Linked DNA regions of Mus musculus. The protein of the gene in region 2 purifies or fractionates together with the protein of the main gene of each other region. This does not show direct contact. Links are inferred from orthologs where the notes say so. Each region holds a gene or a part of one and is shown on either strand. Other genes may lie near its edges.

What was found.
Region 1: the proteins of Snca (region 2) and Park7 purify together in Homo sapiens (affinity purification with western blotting; 3 studies listed by BioGRID and IntAct, with this or other methods). This does not show direct contact. The link is inferred for Mus musculus from reciprocal best matches to the Homo sapiens genes SNCA and PARK7.
Region 3: the proteins of Snca (region 2) and Clu purify together in Homo sapiens (affinity purification with western blotting; 3 studies listed by BioGRID and IntAct, with this or other methods). This does not show direct contact. The link is inferred for Mus musculus from reciprocal best matches to the Homo sapiens genes SNCA and CLU.
Region 4: the proteins of Snca (region 2) and Slc6a3 purify together in Homo sapiens (affinity purification with western blotting; 6 studies listed by BioGRID and IntAct, with this or other methods). This does not show direct contact. The link is inferred for Mus musculus from reciprocal best matches to the Homo sapiens genes SNCA and SLC6A3.

What each region holds. Positions count from the first base shown.
Region 1 is NC_000070.6:150,907,092-150,911,298, forward strand, and holds the start of Park7 (Parkinson disease protein 7 homolog), read right to left. Parts: upstream 2,831-4,207; 5' UTR 2,692-2,830; intron 1,333-2,691; 5' UTR 1,317-1,332; coding exon 1,227-1,316; intron 51-1,226; coding exon 1-50. UniProt on the Homo sapiens protein: Multifunctional protein with controversial molecular function which plays an important role in cell protection against oxidative stress and cell death acting as oxidative stress sensor and redox-sensitive chaperone and protease.
Region 2 is NC_000072.6:60,731,065-60,735,061, forward strand, and holds the end of Snca (alpha-synuclein), read right to left. Parts: intron 2,124-3,997; coding exon 2,040-2,123; intron 1,098-2,039; coding exon 1,065-1,097; 3' UTR 509-1,064; downstream 1-508. UniProt on the Homo sapiens protein: Neuronal protein that plays several roles in synaptic activity such as regulation of synaptic vesicle trafficking and subsequent neurotransmitter release.
Region 3 is NC_000080.6:65,974,940-65,978,504, reverse strand, and holds part of Clu (clusterin preproprotein), read right to left. Parts: coding exon 3,492-3,565; intron 2,925-3,491; coding exon 2,513-2,924; intron 1,600-2,512; coding exon 1,495-1,599; intron 1-1,494.
Region 4 is NC_000079.6:73,539,726-73,543,290, reverse strand, and holds part of Slc6a3 (sodium-dependent dopamine transporter), read right to left. Parts: intron 2,447-3,565; coding exon 2,315-2,446; intron 1-2,314. UniProt on the Homo sapiens protein: Mediates sodium- and chloride-dependent transport of dopamine. Also mediates sodium- and chloride-dependent transport of norepinephrine (also known as noradrenaline). Regulator of light-dependent retinal hyaloid vessel regression, downstream of OPN5 signaling.

The DNA.
Region 1 (4,207 bases), on a different chromosome or scaffold from region 2:
CTACACTGCACGGGGTCCTTCCCAGCCAAGCCTGCAACAGTGACTTTGATCTAGAGAAAGAGCAGATAGATGTTCAAGACCATGAAAGCACAGACTCCGGGCAGCCTGACACCCATTCTGTGGTTTGTAAGTAACCTGTCGGGGAGTACAAGACCAAGCCCAGGCAACGGTAAATAACACCTGGTCTCTTCTGGTTTGCCAGGGACAGCCCTAATTTGTAGCTGAGCCACTACTCTGGCTCTGCCTGGCTAGAACACCCTCTATTCCACAAGTGCTGAGTTGGGAGATGAGTTACCGGGCCGTCCTAATAATAACCCACGGGTTGAGGGTGGCATTATCATTACAACCGTATGGGCTTTTCTTAAAGTAGAAGTGCACAGCACACAACTAAACAACACTTTATCCTGTAAAACATTGAGTAGGTGACACTGCCAGTTGCTAGTCCCCGAAGCTCAGGAGATACCCGACAGTCCTGGGGGAGGACAGGTGAGTGCACTGGAGGCAACTTTTCAGAACCCAGTGATGCTGACTACACAGTCAGCAACCCCACCTTCAGGTGCTGAGCCTGAAAAACCATCCTCACGTTTGCACAAATAAACCCCACAAGAGAATATTTATTAAAGAGGCTGCAGAGATGGCCAGTGGTTAAGATCACCCCGGGGTTTGGTTCCCAGCACCGACATGGCGGCTCACAACCACCTCTAACTCTAGTTCCAGGGGATCAGGCTCTCATGTGGTGCACAGACAAACATGTGGGCAAACATTCATATATACACAAAAGATGAATGAACGCCTCGAAGTATTTACTCCAGTGTCATAAGGTTGTCACTGGAGGGGAGGGGTGGTGGCTTTCCTATGCTGTCCCAACTGTGCAGCGATGTGAAATGAAGAAACCGGGTCTGAGCCCTGCTCTAACTGGAAATCAGCGCTGCTGAGCGTCTCTGCCTGGGGTTTGTGAAAAGAGGCAGAGAGCTGACCATGCTGCTGCCAGGTCTGAGTGAGGAAATGCTCAGGGTGAGCCTGGCAAACCTGAGTGCATCCCATGCTCACCGTGTCACATAAACACAGAGTGGGGAGCCCAGGCTAACACGGAAGACAGCGCACAGCCCCTGACCGCCACATCTGCACCACGGGATGCAGCTCACACACAACATTAAACAAATAAAAGTGACTTGGAGTCCCCTCGTTTTTAAAACAGGGAGAGCTAGCCCATGAGGGGAACTCACCCCGGCTCGCCGCATGACATCCACAGGAATCACTGTCTCCATCTCCTCTGCTCCTTTGGCCAGGATGACCAGAGCTCTTTTGGAAGCCATTTCTATTTCTTAAAGACTTAAAAAAACAGGAAAAAAAAGTGTTCAAAATGTTGCCTCTGTAACAACCATCTGTTCACGCAGAGTAAATAACTTCTGTGTGACAGGTTGGGATCCATGGAAGCAAGCAGCTTAGATTAAAACTGGTTCACATGGCAGAGTTTCAGCACTCTAATCCCGGGATGAAAACAGGGTGGCTGGGGTGGGTAGTCTGTGGCTAAGAGCACTGGATCAAGGTTTAGTTCCCAGCACCCACAGGGCTGCTCCCAATTGTCTGCATCTCCAGGTCCAGGGGATACAGCGCCCTCTTCTGGCCTCTGCACATACATATATGCAAGCAGAATGCTGATACATCAAAATTAAATCCTTGCATGCCTTTAATCCCAGCACTCGGGAGGCAGAGGCAGGTGGAGTTCTGAGTTCGAGGCCAGCCTGGTCTACAAAGTGAGTTCCAGGACAGCCAGGGCTATACAGAGAAATCCTGTCTCGAAAAACAAACAAACAAACAAACAAACACCAACCAACCAAAATCTAAATCCTTTAAAAAAAATAATAAATGTGGGATTGCCAATGTGTGCTAGTATTCTTTGCATTTTCCCTTACTGTGCTTTCTTAGGACCAATCTCTAACGAAGACAGGTCACATAACGGGCCCTGCATATCAGTCACACTGTGGAGAGGCTGGTTTTCTTAAAATACTCTGAAGGAGGGAGGGAGGGAAGGAAAAGAATAAGAGAAATAAGAGAAAGAGAGAAGGGGAGGGGAGGGGGAGCGAGTCGAGCGCACACCTTTAGTCTCAGCGCTTGGGAGGAAGAGACAGAGACAGGAGTATCTATCTGTGAGTTCGAGGCCAGCCTGGTCTACAGCGTGAGTTCCATGATAGCCAGGGTTACAGAGAAACCCTGTCTCAAAAAACCCAAACCAAAACAAAAAAGCAAAGCAAAACAAAAAACCCCAAATCCACAATTTCACTGGTAAAAAACCAACTTGTAAATTTCGAAGGTTTTGTTCTTGTTGTTGATGTTCCAATAAACTGCTAAAATGTCAGGACCGGGTTGGGGGAGTCCAAAGGTGCTAAATCTCTGACCACACTGCTAATGATTAATAAAGATGGACTATCTCTTTAGGAGGTCAGCCCTGCTGCGGCCGGGAACAGCTAGCCGCCACTCGGAGGCACTTTCCGCGTGCTTTCCCTGCACGCTCCCCACGCATCACAACTTTGGTCAAGCCTTCCAGTAACTGCGCTCGCTCCAACCCGGAGGATGCTGTGCAGAGCCTGGCCCGGCATGCACTGCGGCCGCTGCCCCCAGCCCGCCCAGCCGGGACCCTCCGGGGCAGCGGGCGGATCACAGCCCGGCCTCTAGCCCCAGGGCGCTGACCTGCAGCCGCGCCTCCTCCACCCACGCGAAGCCACCGCTAGTCCGCAGGAACCTCGCACCCGACGTGTACCCAGCACGCATGCGCGCCACCCGCACTGAGGCTGCGCACAACCCCTCGCTTCCGCCTCGGCCTGCGTCATGTCCGGCTGAGCCCAGGCCCCGGGGTGGGGGTGGGGGGAGGAGCGAATAGAGGCTACTGCGGCTGCGCAGCGCTTGTACCATCTCGCCCCCAGACAACGGTACCGCCCACCCTGCGGGCGCCTGCGCAATTGCCCCTCTCTGCCTCTTCGACGTTTAAGTTGATAGTGGTTCCGAGTTTGAGGCCTGGCTGGGCTACAGCCTGAACCCCACACTTGTAATCCTAGCACATGCGAATTCACAGGCTGAAGTTCAGTCATTTTTGGAAGCCGTCTTACATTACGGTTTTTGTGGACCGTTTGCCTTTCTTGCCCCTTACTGTGACATCCCCTCTATTTGCCCCTGGCCTGCTAGTCTTCGTTCCACGTCATCCCAGGCCTGTCCCTCCCAGCTAGGCCTGGTCACCCTGTCCCCTGGGTCACAGGACGGTGTCAAGCTTTAAGAGCTCTTGCTGGTTTTGCAAAGGACCCAGGTTCGGTTCCCAGCATCCATTTGGGGAGACTCACCACTGCCTAACTCCGGATCCTGAGGATCTAATGCCATCTTCTGACCTCCACGGGCACTGCACTCATATGCACACAAATAATAAAATGTCCTACTGCACCCTCGGGTTGGAGCAATGCTATCATCTACGATAAGATAAATTATTTAATTATCTCATTTTATTTCAGCTTTTTACACTTCTGGGTTGACAGTTACTGTGTGTGCATCTCAACCTGTGCCAAAGGGTGCACGTGGAAACTCACAGAAGACCACTCGCCTTAGTGTGTTCTTTCTTTACTACAAGGTCTCGGATGGAACTCAAATCCTCCGGTGTGTGGCAAGCACCCTTACCTGTCGAGCCCTCCCACCGGCTCTCTCCTGAGTTTTTAATAGTTATCTTTCAGCTTACAGGAGGGAGACCCACCCTCACCTGGTCCTATCTGTACCCACCTCAGAGAAAGCCAGCTCGTTTGGCAAGTCTCAGTACTTTTTATACAAACCCCCGACAGGATATAAACTTGCTTTCCTTCCTATATGGAGATTGAATACCTCACATACATTGGCTGACCTCCATCATAGGTTCATATTGGAAATCTTATAAACTGGAAATTCTTTTTTTTTTTTTTTTTTTTTTTTTGGTTTTTCGAGACAGGGTTTCTCTGTGTAGCCCTGGCTGTCCTGGAACTCACTTTGTAGACCAGGCTGGCCTCGAACTCAGAAATCCGCCTGCCTCTGCCTCCCGAATGCTGGGATTAAAGGCGTGTGCCACCACGCCCAGCTTCAAACTGGAAATTCTTACAGTAGGAGTAGTTTAATTCTTAAAAATTGCTAAGTCATGTATATATACAATAAAACTTGGGCAACTGCTTTAGGAGTTGTGGAATGGACTGGTTCT
Region 2 (3,997 bases):
TTTGCTTTTACCTTTGCGTACCTGCTAAGGTATCATATACATAGCCCACTGCCTGGGGTCCCTGAGGAGTTTTAAGGTATTTCCTGGGTTCTTTTATACACACACACACACACACACACACACACACACACACACACAAATACACACACACACACACACACACACACACACATATACATGCCATAAATTCCAAATTAAGGTTCTTCAATGGCCTGCCTCTGATATGCTAATGTGTCTTATGAATATGTAAAAGTTCACTATCCCTCACACGTTTTAGTTCCAATGAAGTGTTTCCTCAAGTGCAGCCACAGCTCTGAGCAGAACTGTAGATAAAGCTGGCTGTGTTCAATCTCACTGGAGAATCCTTCCTGCTGTTCCATCTCTAAATCCCCTCGGTTCCTTAAGACATGTTGCAACTTTTCATTCCAGTTCACTGTGTCAGTTGTCATTAAATGTTCATGTTCCTGATATGCATGATTTTGTTACTAAAGTAAAAGGAACCAGGAAAGATTTTGCAATGGATAATATTTTATTTTATTTTCCACCATTTATATACAAACACAAGTTAATAAAACACATCACAAAACTGTAAAATTCATAAATTAATATTTATAGGTGCATAGTCTCATGCTCACATAATTTTAAAATATATATTAACAAATTTCACAACACATCATTCTTAGACAGAAAGAGTCATTCAGGACACCTAAAACTCTTGGAGCAAATCACAACTTCTTAAGAACAGCAACAAAAAGAAAACGATGAAGATTTAGAAATAAGTGGTAGTCACTTAGGTGTTTTAAGTTTCTTCTAACAATTTAAGTGTGAAGCCACAACAATATCCACAGCACACAAGACCCTGCTACCAGGTTTTCACTGTAGTGAGAGGGGAGCACCGGGATGCTGAGGGGCAGGTACAGGACGCCGATCACTGCTGATGGAAGACTTTGAAACACACTGTACAGCTTTGAGAAAAGGTCATGACTGGGCACATTGGAACTGAGCACTTGTACGCCATGGAAGAGCAGCCGGCAGATCTTAGGAGATTGGGTGCAATGACATTCTTAGGCTTCAGGCTCATAGTCTTGGTAGCCTTCCTAATATCAGGAAAAGAAAATAATAACAGCATGCCTTGTCAGTGAAGTGACAGATATCAACTGTCTGCTTCACAGTGGGGGAGGGCTCATCATTTCAATCAGATAAAATTGATCCTCAGAGCAGTGTTTGGAACTTATCTGTCATTGACATTTATTGGCTTTTTCATACGTATCAACTGTAAGTTATAGAGGACATCACCGTTAGATTATTAGGCCCAATTCTAGGTATATCATTTGATCTGTGCTCTCCTCCTGCAGTGTGAATTGGCAGGGTCTCTGGATTCTCTCCTTTGCTCTGCAGTGTGAGCTGTGCACACCTAGGTAAGCTGCATGAAGCCTCCTCCAGAGCTCATCTTTCGCCTTTCTCTCCCCCATTAGAACACTCCACCTTCATGAATTGCTTCCATGAAGGATCTTTCACATGAAAGCCCAAGCCTCCTGGACAAAATCCAGATAACATTCATGACAGTAATGACCCAATGTAACTGAATTTGATAGCCTTCCTCAAAATTAACTCTAATTAGGATTGTGCTGTTAAACTAAACCTATCATCAAACTCTTCTTTTTCCAAATGTAAAAATAAACTTAAATGATGGTAACTTGGGGCTCTACAGTTTGTCTAAAACCTTAGTTATGTCTTCAGCCTTAATCTGTCATTTTTCTGTTTTCTAACCATGATTCATAACTGCCCGTTGTTACTCAGACATTTCCATATGCCTTTGTTACTACCAGTCTCTTGTTCTAGAATGTTTTAATTTTGACCTACTATATCCCTTACCCTCTCCCACAAAGATTAAAATCATTTGCTCTAAAATATTTTCTTGATTGAACTATGCCAACCATAATGTGAGAGAGATCTGATAGTGGCAGGGTTTTGATGGTATGTGTTCCAAATTAAACACCTAAAGTGTTTTGCTTAGTTTTCTTTATACAGGCATTTACCTCTGAAGGCATTTCATAAGCCTCACTGCCAGGATCCACAGGCATGTCTTCCAGGATTCCTTCCTGTGGGTACCCCTCCTCACCCTACAGAGAGGGAAGAGAAAGCACAATAAGAGAGTGTTTTAACTTCTGAAAACCAGCTTGAAAAAGACACCTTATCTTCAAGGTGCTGCACGAAGTGTTATCAGAAGTGCATTCTTCTGTATTATTGATGGATTCTAAGTGTACCAAACCACTGGAAAAAACATTGTGCATGCATGGGTTACCAATCTAAAGAGTACAAATATTTTGCACAGGTAATTAACTACACTGGAAGTTGCCAAAGCTAAAGTCCATAAGTTCTCTCCATAAGCGCAATGCTATAGTAACAATGGTTTGTAGTCAATGGGTAATGATGAATCAAATAACAGTAATGTATTCAAAACTTTTCTGAAATCATTTGCCAATTCTCTAATAAGGATAGCTTATTTTTGGTGTAATGTTTAACAGGATGTCATTTGTAGACAGAACCCACATAGCATTTCAATGAAAAAGTAAAAATGTTCCAAAAAAGTAAAACAAATATTGACAAATTATCATTATTATTTATTTTTCCTAAATTTTAAAAGGTAAAGTACATGTGTTTTATAATTCATTGTTTTCTTTTCTTTTATTTGTGAGTATGTGTGTGGACTATGTGCATGTGTGGTGAATAATGAGGGCATCACATTCCCTGGAACCGGAGCTATAGATCCTTGTGATTCTCCATATAGGTGCTAGATTATAAACTAGAGTCCTCTGGAAGAAAAATACATATGTTCTTAAACAGTGAGCTATATTTTGAGCCCCAATAATTCATTCTTAAATGCTGCCAAAGAAATAGTTCTCTTTGGAAAGCTGAAGTTTGAAATTATATGTACTTGAAGTAAAACCAAAACCAAAACCAAAACAAAGATATGATTGGACAAAATTTCAGATTATCTCTCCACAATGCAGACACCCTAGCATTCAGCTTGACATGATGGAGCTTTTTTGTATCCTTCATCAAAGATCTTTTGTTCTTTTCCATTTGTTCCACCAAAGTAATTATTGAATGACAGAGTTCAGCAAATACTCAAAGAGCAACTAGAGGCTAAATGGTCTATTTCAATGAGATCAAAGGATGCTCAGCTTCTGTGGGCAATATACTCACTGTAAATGCTATCTCCCTCTGCTTTTATCATAGGCATAATGGACAGGTGGGCAGAGGGAAGAAATAAGAGTTGACACTAAGGCAAGGTCAGACTCTGAAGGTCATGCTTTCGGTAGCTTGGCAGGGCACCTTACAGATCATCCTATCATGCTGTATAGATATCAACAATCTCTGGTTACAAACCCAGAGAGGCCAATTTGTTTATAAGTTAAATAAGTCTTAAACTGTCCCCAAATCACCTCACTTCAAAATGTAGAGTAACAGTATTTTACATGGTAGTATAAGAATCCAGGTTTTGGTTGTGTGGTAGTTCAGCCCCAGAACTTGATCATAGGATGCACATTACAATTCCAGCCTAAGTTATCTTTTGTGACTCTGGGCATGTTACCACCACTCCTGAGCATCAACTAACTGTGTTGAGAAAAGACAGCAAAGAGATCTTTTCATTTGTATATAACTGGGAGGAGCAAGTGACACAATGGACCCCTCTCACTGATGTTTACGTGATTTTTATACAGCTCATAGGAAGGAAATATAGTAAACCACCTCTTCAGTGCATTTTCCAATGTAACTTGTGAGATTTATGTTATAAACTGGATAAGACAATATGAAAGGCCAACCCTGGGGGCTCCTAACTCTGATATTCCTACATTAGTAGAAGAGGATGTCACAGGCTGTGGGTGTCCATGTGTATAAGGGGATAACTGTGTTTGCCCTTCAGAGTTCATCCAGATAATGCTGAATGTTGCTTAGAAATTCCTTCCTGGGTTTACCATGAAATACAATC
Region 3 (3,565 bases), on a different chromosome or scaffold from region 2:
GTCACAGTGGAGGGAGGGTTGCTCTTGGTAGATGGTAGGTTGGAGCCAAAAATGTTGTTAAATGCTCAGCCATGGTCAGGTCTGCCCACAGGGCTGAGGCAAGATGTCCCAGGCGAGAGGTCTCTGTGAAGCCTATCCATACCATTGTAAGCACTGTACATAAGAGCTAACGGGTGACAGAAACGGTGACTGCTGAGAGGATACCATTATAAGCACCGTAAATAAGAGCTAACGGGTGACTGTTGAGAGGATCGCTAAGTCTGATGTAAGAGATCCAGTCTATAAGGTGACTGGCTTCTCTGTGCTCAGGCACCCCATCTTTCAACTATAAGGGAAAGCCTACAGGTGTGGCCCATATTTGTTTATAATGTCACACTATGACCTTTGAAAGCACTAGTATTTTTTTTTTTTTCCTAGCCTCCTAACATTGCAGGAATGAGGCTGGGAATATTTAACCAGACTCTAAAGGTCTGTCCCGGCCAACAAAGAGGGTGATCTGAGCAGGTAGCACCGTGTACTGTGAGCCACTGTAAAGACCAGGCTGAAGGCGGGGCATTGGCTTGATAGCCAGACCTGACAAATCTGTGGGGAACAGTTTTGGGTTTGCTGTATTTTGTTTTGTTTTCATTGAGACAGAACCTCGCCGCTGGCCTCGGATTCACCACCCTCCTACCTCAGCCTCCCAAATGTTGGGATTATAGGGATATGTCACCATACCCAGATTGCCTGGGGAACTGATGAAGGAAAAATAGTTCCTTTTCTGAGGGACTAGTTCACCAAAAAGAATGCGGCCAGGATACCAAGGACCACCATCACAAGGACATAGCTCAAGGTCCCCAGGGAGAAACCCCAGGGTGCTGTTTATGAGCACAGCCTAAGTGAGAAGCCTCGTGTCACGTAATCTTAGATAAGTCACTTAGCCATCCAGCAAGACGGAAAGAGAGCTGTACCCAGCTCACAGGATCATTCTGCGAACAGACACCTGTGACGTGTTTGCAGCAGTGCCTGGCATGTGGCGAGCACTTGTTAAACAAAACGCATGTTGTCAAAGATTTCATAATCAGAAGTTCAAAATCAGGGTCTACAGTACTTGGCACTGTGGAACAAAGTAGCCAGGGGAACGAGCTGTGGCTTACTGGTCGATACAGTGTAATTCCACCGTGGACTGCAGGTTTGCCAGTGAGCCACAGGGGTGGTGGTGGGCACTTTAGCTCCACCTCATCTATATGAGAACAATCTGCACCTGAACTTGATTCTGAGTAAAATTGATGTGGCTCAGTGGTAGAGCGTTCACCTAACATGCAGGAGGCACTGGGTCCTACCCCAGCTCCCAAATAATGAAGCTCTAGATAAGAGGAGAGTAGGCTGTGCACCAGGGTGAGGAGTCTCCCGGGGATTAAGAGTTCCCAGGCAGAGAGCTAGTCTTTGGAAAAGGATAGTGCCAGTGAGTCACTGGAGACCCACAGTCAGATGACCACTGGTTCCCGGACTCACCCACAGACAAGATCTCCTGGCACTTTTCACACTGGCCCTTCATCTTCAGGCATCCTGTGGAGTTGCGGCGGATCTCCTTGCACACAGTGCGGTCATCTTCACCTTCTGGACACATGAGGGGAAAGAGGGGCAGGATTAGACACATGGCACATCAGAAGGATGCCCACCCGACAGCCTTCCACACCTCTGCTCAGTGCCATGGTCAGGGCACGATGCAGCTTATTTGTTTGCTTGCAGCCATGGGACTTCCCTGTGGCTGAGGATATTCCCACGGCTCTCAGCAGGTCCTGCCTGCCTTCCCACCATCTCCATCTGAGGAGATCTCTCCTGCCACATCCCCTCAGCTGTGTGCCTTCTGACATCATGGCTGTTCTTTGTTCTCCTTGACTGATGGTACTCCCTAACTGGCCTTCAAGCCCCAGAGAGCACAAGTGTGTCCTGACAACATAAACCATCTTTAGACAATGGAGCTACAGTAGATGTGTGTTGGATGCCAAGACTTCTTCTATTTCTAATGCAAACCATACCATGTAGGACATGGTATTAAGACCCAAGGCACTAATGGAAAAAAAAAATCACTCCTCAGACACCGGTTTCTCGTGTCCACGTGATATTTCATCCTTACAGGCATTACACGCTAAGGTCACAGCCATGAACATCTTCTTTAAGATGACACAGACTCATTGCCTGGAAGGGCGGGCCTCTCACACCACACCCTCAAAAGTTCCCAAGAAATAATATCTGGGATCCTATAGGAGGCACAGCCCCAGATCACACCCTGAGTTCACTGTAACAAACACAAGAGCTCCAATCTCTACAAATGCTAATTGAACTGCGCCCCCCCACATTTACCTGCATTTCTTTGCCCCCATCCTAGCTCCTTTACCCTACAAATGGAGGAAATACCAGCCTCTGAGGCTTCTAGGAACATAAAACCAGCACAGGTCAAGCCCTGGAAGAGCCTAGACATCTGGGACATTCACATTCCTACTTAGAAAGAAAGCAATTGCTTTCTAACCTCTTAAGAAATCCACGTCTGGGAACTGGAAGGCTGGGCTGTGGAGCTGGACATCCATGGCCTGTTGAGCCTGGTGGATCATCTCAAAGAAAGGCTGGAACATGTTGTGGAAGCTCGGAGGCCCATAGTGGGAGGGAGACATGAGGCTGCGGACCAAGCGGGACTTGGGATATAAGAAATGAGGCCTCTTGTGTGGGAAGCCGATGGGGGAGAAGTAGTGGGGGTCATGAAGCTCACGGGCGAAGAACCGGTCCTGAAAGAGCGTGTCTATGATGCCAGATGCCCGAGCAAAGCTGTCCTGCATGGCATCCAGGACTTGGCTCTGCTGCCGGTCACTCTCCAGCAGGGAGTCGATGCGGTCGCCGTTCATCCAGAAGTAGAAGGGTGAGCTCTGGTTTAGAAACTCCTCTAGCTGGGACCCAGAGAAGTAGAGTAAGGCATTGTGTGTACTCCAGCCTGTATCCCCCTGTGGCCACACAGAAACTGACCCAAGTTCCCACTGTTCTGCCTCCTGGGTACCCTGTCAGCACCCCCCGTCCCCCCGCCGCCGCCCCCCAAATCCATTTCTCATGGCGAAACTCGGAGGTTCCCAAGTCTCACCTTGGGCCATAAAGAATAAATAGCCACTCCTGCTTAGCTGCTCAGCCTTGAGGAAACAGTGAATTTTACTGAGTTCCAACCAAGTGAATCTCACAGGTAGGGATAGAATTAATGCAAATAGACTAAATATTTTTTAATTCCCTTTTCCTATTCTAACACAGGATTCTACCATCCCATAAGGCCATTTTACCCAACCAGTTAAAGGTCTTGAAAGAGATGGTACCTGCCAAGCAGACATCACCAATCGACCATGACACTAGAACGATGTGCAGTCAAGCAATGCTAATCAACTGTACCCAGCATATGGAATGAGGCCTATTTCATGGATTCTCCACATTCCCCATCCAGAACCCAGGCTGTGGACATCTCTCCTTCTCACCTGCTGGCCGACCAGCCCTGAGCCGCTCCTGCAGACACGTGCATAGAACTTCATGCAGGTATGCTTCAGGCAGG
Region 4 (3,565 bases), on a different chromosome or scaffold from region 2:
CACATCCCTGCTTCTGCTCAAGCCTATAGACTTGTCTTTGGAATGGGTTGAAAGCTGCCGAGAAACAAGGATAGGACCACCAAAAACTAAGGCAGCAAGTTCACTGGACTCTGTTCACATTCTTGAGGTTCTCTCAGCTATCCAGTAACATAGCCACAGTCTTCTGTTCCCTACAAAGCTATCAGTACCAATGCCTGTTCATCCACTGTGCTCCAAGCCAAGTTATGAGAATTGCATCGTGCCGTGAAGCTCTTCAAAATGGTTTACTGATAGTTTACAAATAGAAAAAAAAAAATTGCTTTAGTGGTTTTGTGGAAGAGCTTTGCTCAGACAGCCTTTTATTCTGCCAGGATTGTCCTAGAATTTGCAATCCTTATGCCTCCAGTTCCTTAGTGCTGGGATTCTTGAGTACACCAGCACTCATACCCAACTACCGAGAGAGTTGTGCTGTGAGTAGGTCTATGTTTGAGCTAACTAGCTTTCTTGGGTTAGCCACAGCCCCGGGCACTGAACCTTTCCCCTTTTCCTGGCTTCCTGTTGGCCTTTCAGTCCTTGCGACTTCCAGCGAAGACTGAGGCACTGGTTGGTTGTATCCTGTGGAAATCTATGTCACACTCCACAGTCATGGAGCACGAATCTCAAAAAGTCCAGCAGATCCACTTCTGGCATCACACAGCTACAGGATACCACCAACTTGGACATGTCCTCTATTCAAGGACAGGCAGGCTGGGTCTCCAATTCAGTTCCAAACGGCCACCTGAAAACCAGATTTGGTTGAAGCTCGTGGCTACCACCACAGCCTCAGAAATGGTATATACTCCCTGGGTCACATTAGCACTGCTAGATAGTCTAGGATGGAATGACAAGAGCTATTTTCACCTGGAGCTCTTAGATTGAGCTCATTGACCTTGGCCCAACAAAGCTTGTATAGTAATTGGAGTTCAACACAAGAATTATCTCCTAAAGTCCCAGGGTTCCCAAGTGCCACAGTAGTCCTCCATTAGAAACCATTGATGGTGTCGGACAGTCCCGTGCAGTTCTCCTAAGTGCTGAATCTTACATTTTGAGCACAGTGGGGAACATCCAGTGCAGTAACATATCCAGAGGATCTGTCTGTCTCTAAAGCTGTGCATGGAGGTTTAGATAAGGTCCTTCTTAACACAGTTTTATACACTTACCAGTTACGAATCCTAAACTGAGAAGCCTGCTATCTGTGCCCAACAACCTCTGCATTTCACATTTCCATTGGGCAAGAGCAGCATGCTCATGAAGAGCATGCATGGGCTAAGCAGCTGTGAGAAGCCCTTTTGCTGCTCCTATTCAAAGCAGCAGTTTCTGGTCTTGGGTGTCAACCACTGGCCCACAGATGCTGCACAGGGGAACTGGGGCTCTGCTTTCTTCTATGCAGGTACTGTTCAAATACTTCTGAGAAAACCCAATGCTAATCTTTCAAGCGTCGTTTTCTCAGCATATGCCAACTACTGGAGGGGAATGTCACTGGGTCTCTTCCAAGAAGAGTCTTGAAGTCTCCTGGAACTCTATCTTCCTTGGGATGGCAGTGGGTCAGGATAAGGGTGATCCAAAGCTGGCTGGTGGTAAACAGGGCTGAGGTAGATTCAGGATTGGCTTTTAACTCATTGAGAAGTCCTTAGCCTTGTTCTCAGTGTCAGTATCTCCCATGAAGAAGGCACTGTGTTCTCCAGCTGGGATCTCCTGGGACAAGGGAGCTGACATCTGGGAAGTATCAATCACTGAGCAGGCTACCTAGACTCAGTGTAAGGTACCCCTGCCTCATAGTTCTTAGGCCTTTTATAAACATTCTGGGACTCACTGAACTAGGCAGATGATTGATAGATACATGATTGATAAATGTATGATATGTAGATAGAAGGATGAATGATAGATGACTGATAGGTGAACAGATAATATGTATATAGATGATAAGTAGATAAATGAGTAATAAATAGAGATAGATGGCAGATGATAGATAGATGATAGATTTTTTTTTTAATGGTGCTTGTTGGATAGACCATAAATAAGTAAGTAGATGGTTGATAGACACGTGGCAGATTCATAGGTATTTTTTTAACACCCTGACAAAAATACCATCACTTAGCTTTAGGGAAGCCTGGCCTGGGAGCAAGGCATGTTCTAGAAGATTCCTGGTCATACCAGTCTTTAAGGTATGACCCACAGTCATGTACATATATCCTCACAGTTTAGGAAGTTGGAACCTGCACATAACGTCATCACCTTGTTCTGAACCCCCAAAGACATAGCCATGTCTTTTGTGGGACACATCCCTGCATATTACCTTTCAGGACAGGGCAGATCTTCCAGACACCAGCAGCTCCTTCTCTGTTGAACTGCCCGAGAGCCAGCTCCATGTAGAAGAGGGGCATCCCGGCAATAACCATGAAGAGCAGGTAGGGCACCAGGAAGGCACCTGTGCATAGGACAGCAGCTTCAACTTGAGGGCCATGGGCGGGGCAGTTTTCATCATTTGTATGTGGACCCCAATGTTGCATCCTCAAGTATGACCTTGTCACCCAGCTTCCTGACTAAAGTGGAAGGCTCCTGTATAGCTACCACTCAAGGGGATATCCTGGATTGGTGGTGAACCTCCTTGCTTGCTGCAGCTGTTGTCAGTGTTGGACATAGTCCCCTTAATGCCTCTGGTTGTCCCCTGACCCCATGTCCTGAGCTCATCCAGAAGCAAGGCAGGCAAGGCCCTGAGCCATGTCTCAGCCCAGTCCCTAGCACTGCCTGCCTCTTCATGCCAGACCCCACTTTGTCTTGATCTTGTTTGCCCCTGAAGGTTATGGTCCTGGGATCTGTGACCCAATCCTGGTATTTACATCTCACCTTTCTGGGGACCAGAGCTGAATTTCTGCTGCCAGGAGGTTCCTGGAGCTGGATGGACTGTGGGGCTTGGGCTGCACAAAAGTCACCACACCCAACTCTGCTTTGTCCCCAAAATATGACTGTGGTTGAGGCAGAGATTGACCACAGCTTTCTTCTGGGGCTTAGATGAGCTAGGAGCCTCCTCACCTATGTCTTTGGGTCACCTACTGGAGCTGCTGAGACCTTGGGCATTAAGAGCACATAATGAGGCCACTGTGCTCATGGATTTGCTTCAGCTCTTCCTTCCCAAAGCAATTCTTCATACCCTGTAGCCACTCAGGGAGACCAAGCCATGACAACAGAGGCCTTTTGGGCTCAACTTGAATTTCTTTGGTAAATCTGTTCCTTGCCCTCTTTTTAGCCCTACTGCACAGCTATGGATGTAAAGCTGAGATGAGAAAGTAGGGGAGCCAGGCTTGGTGACAGAAACCCATAGTTCAAGCTACTCTAGAGGCCAGTGTTTAAGGCCTGTGTGATCTACAGAAAGAGTTCAAGAATTGCCTAGGAAACAGTGAAATCCTTACTCCAACTAAAAAATTCAAGAGGTCAATGGGTGTGACTCTGTGGTCAAGCACTTGCCAGCACGTAACAAGCTATGGGTTCAACTCCCATAACTGTATTTAAAGAATGGGAGGGAGGGAGGGAGGGAGGGAGGGAGGGA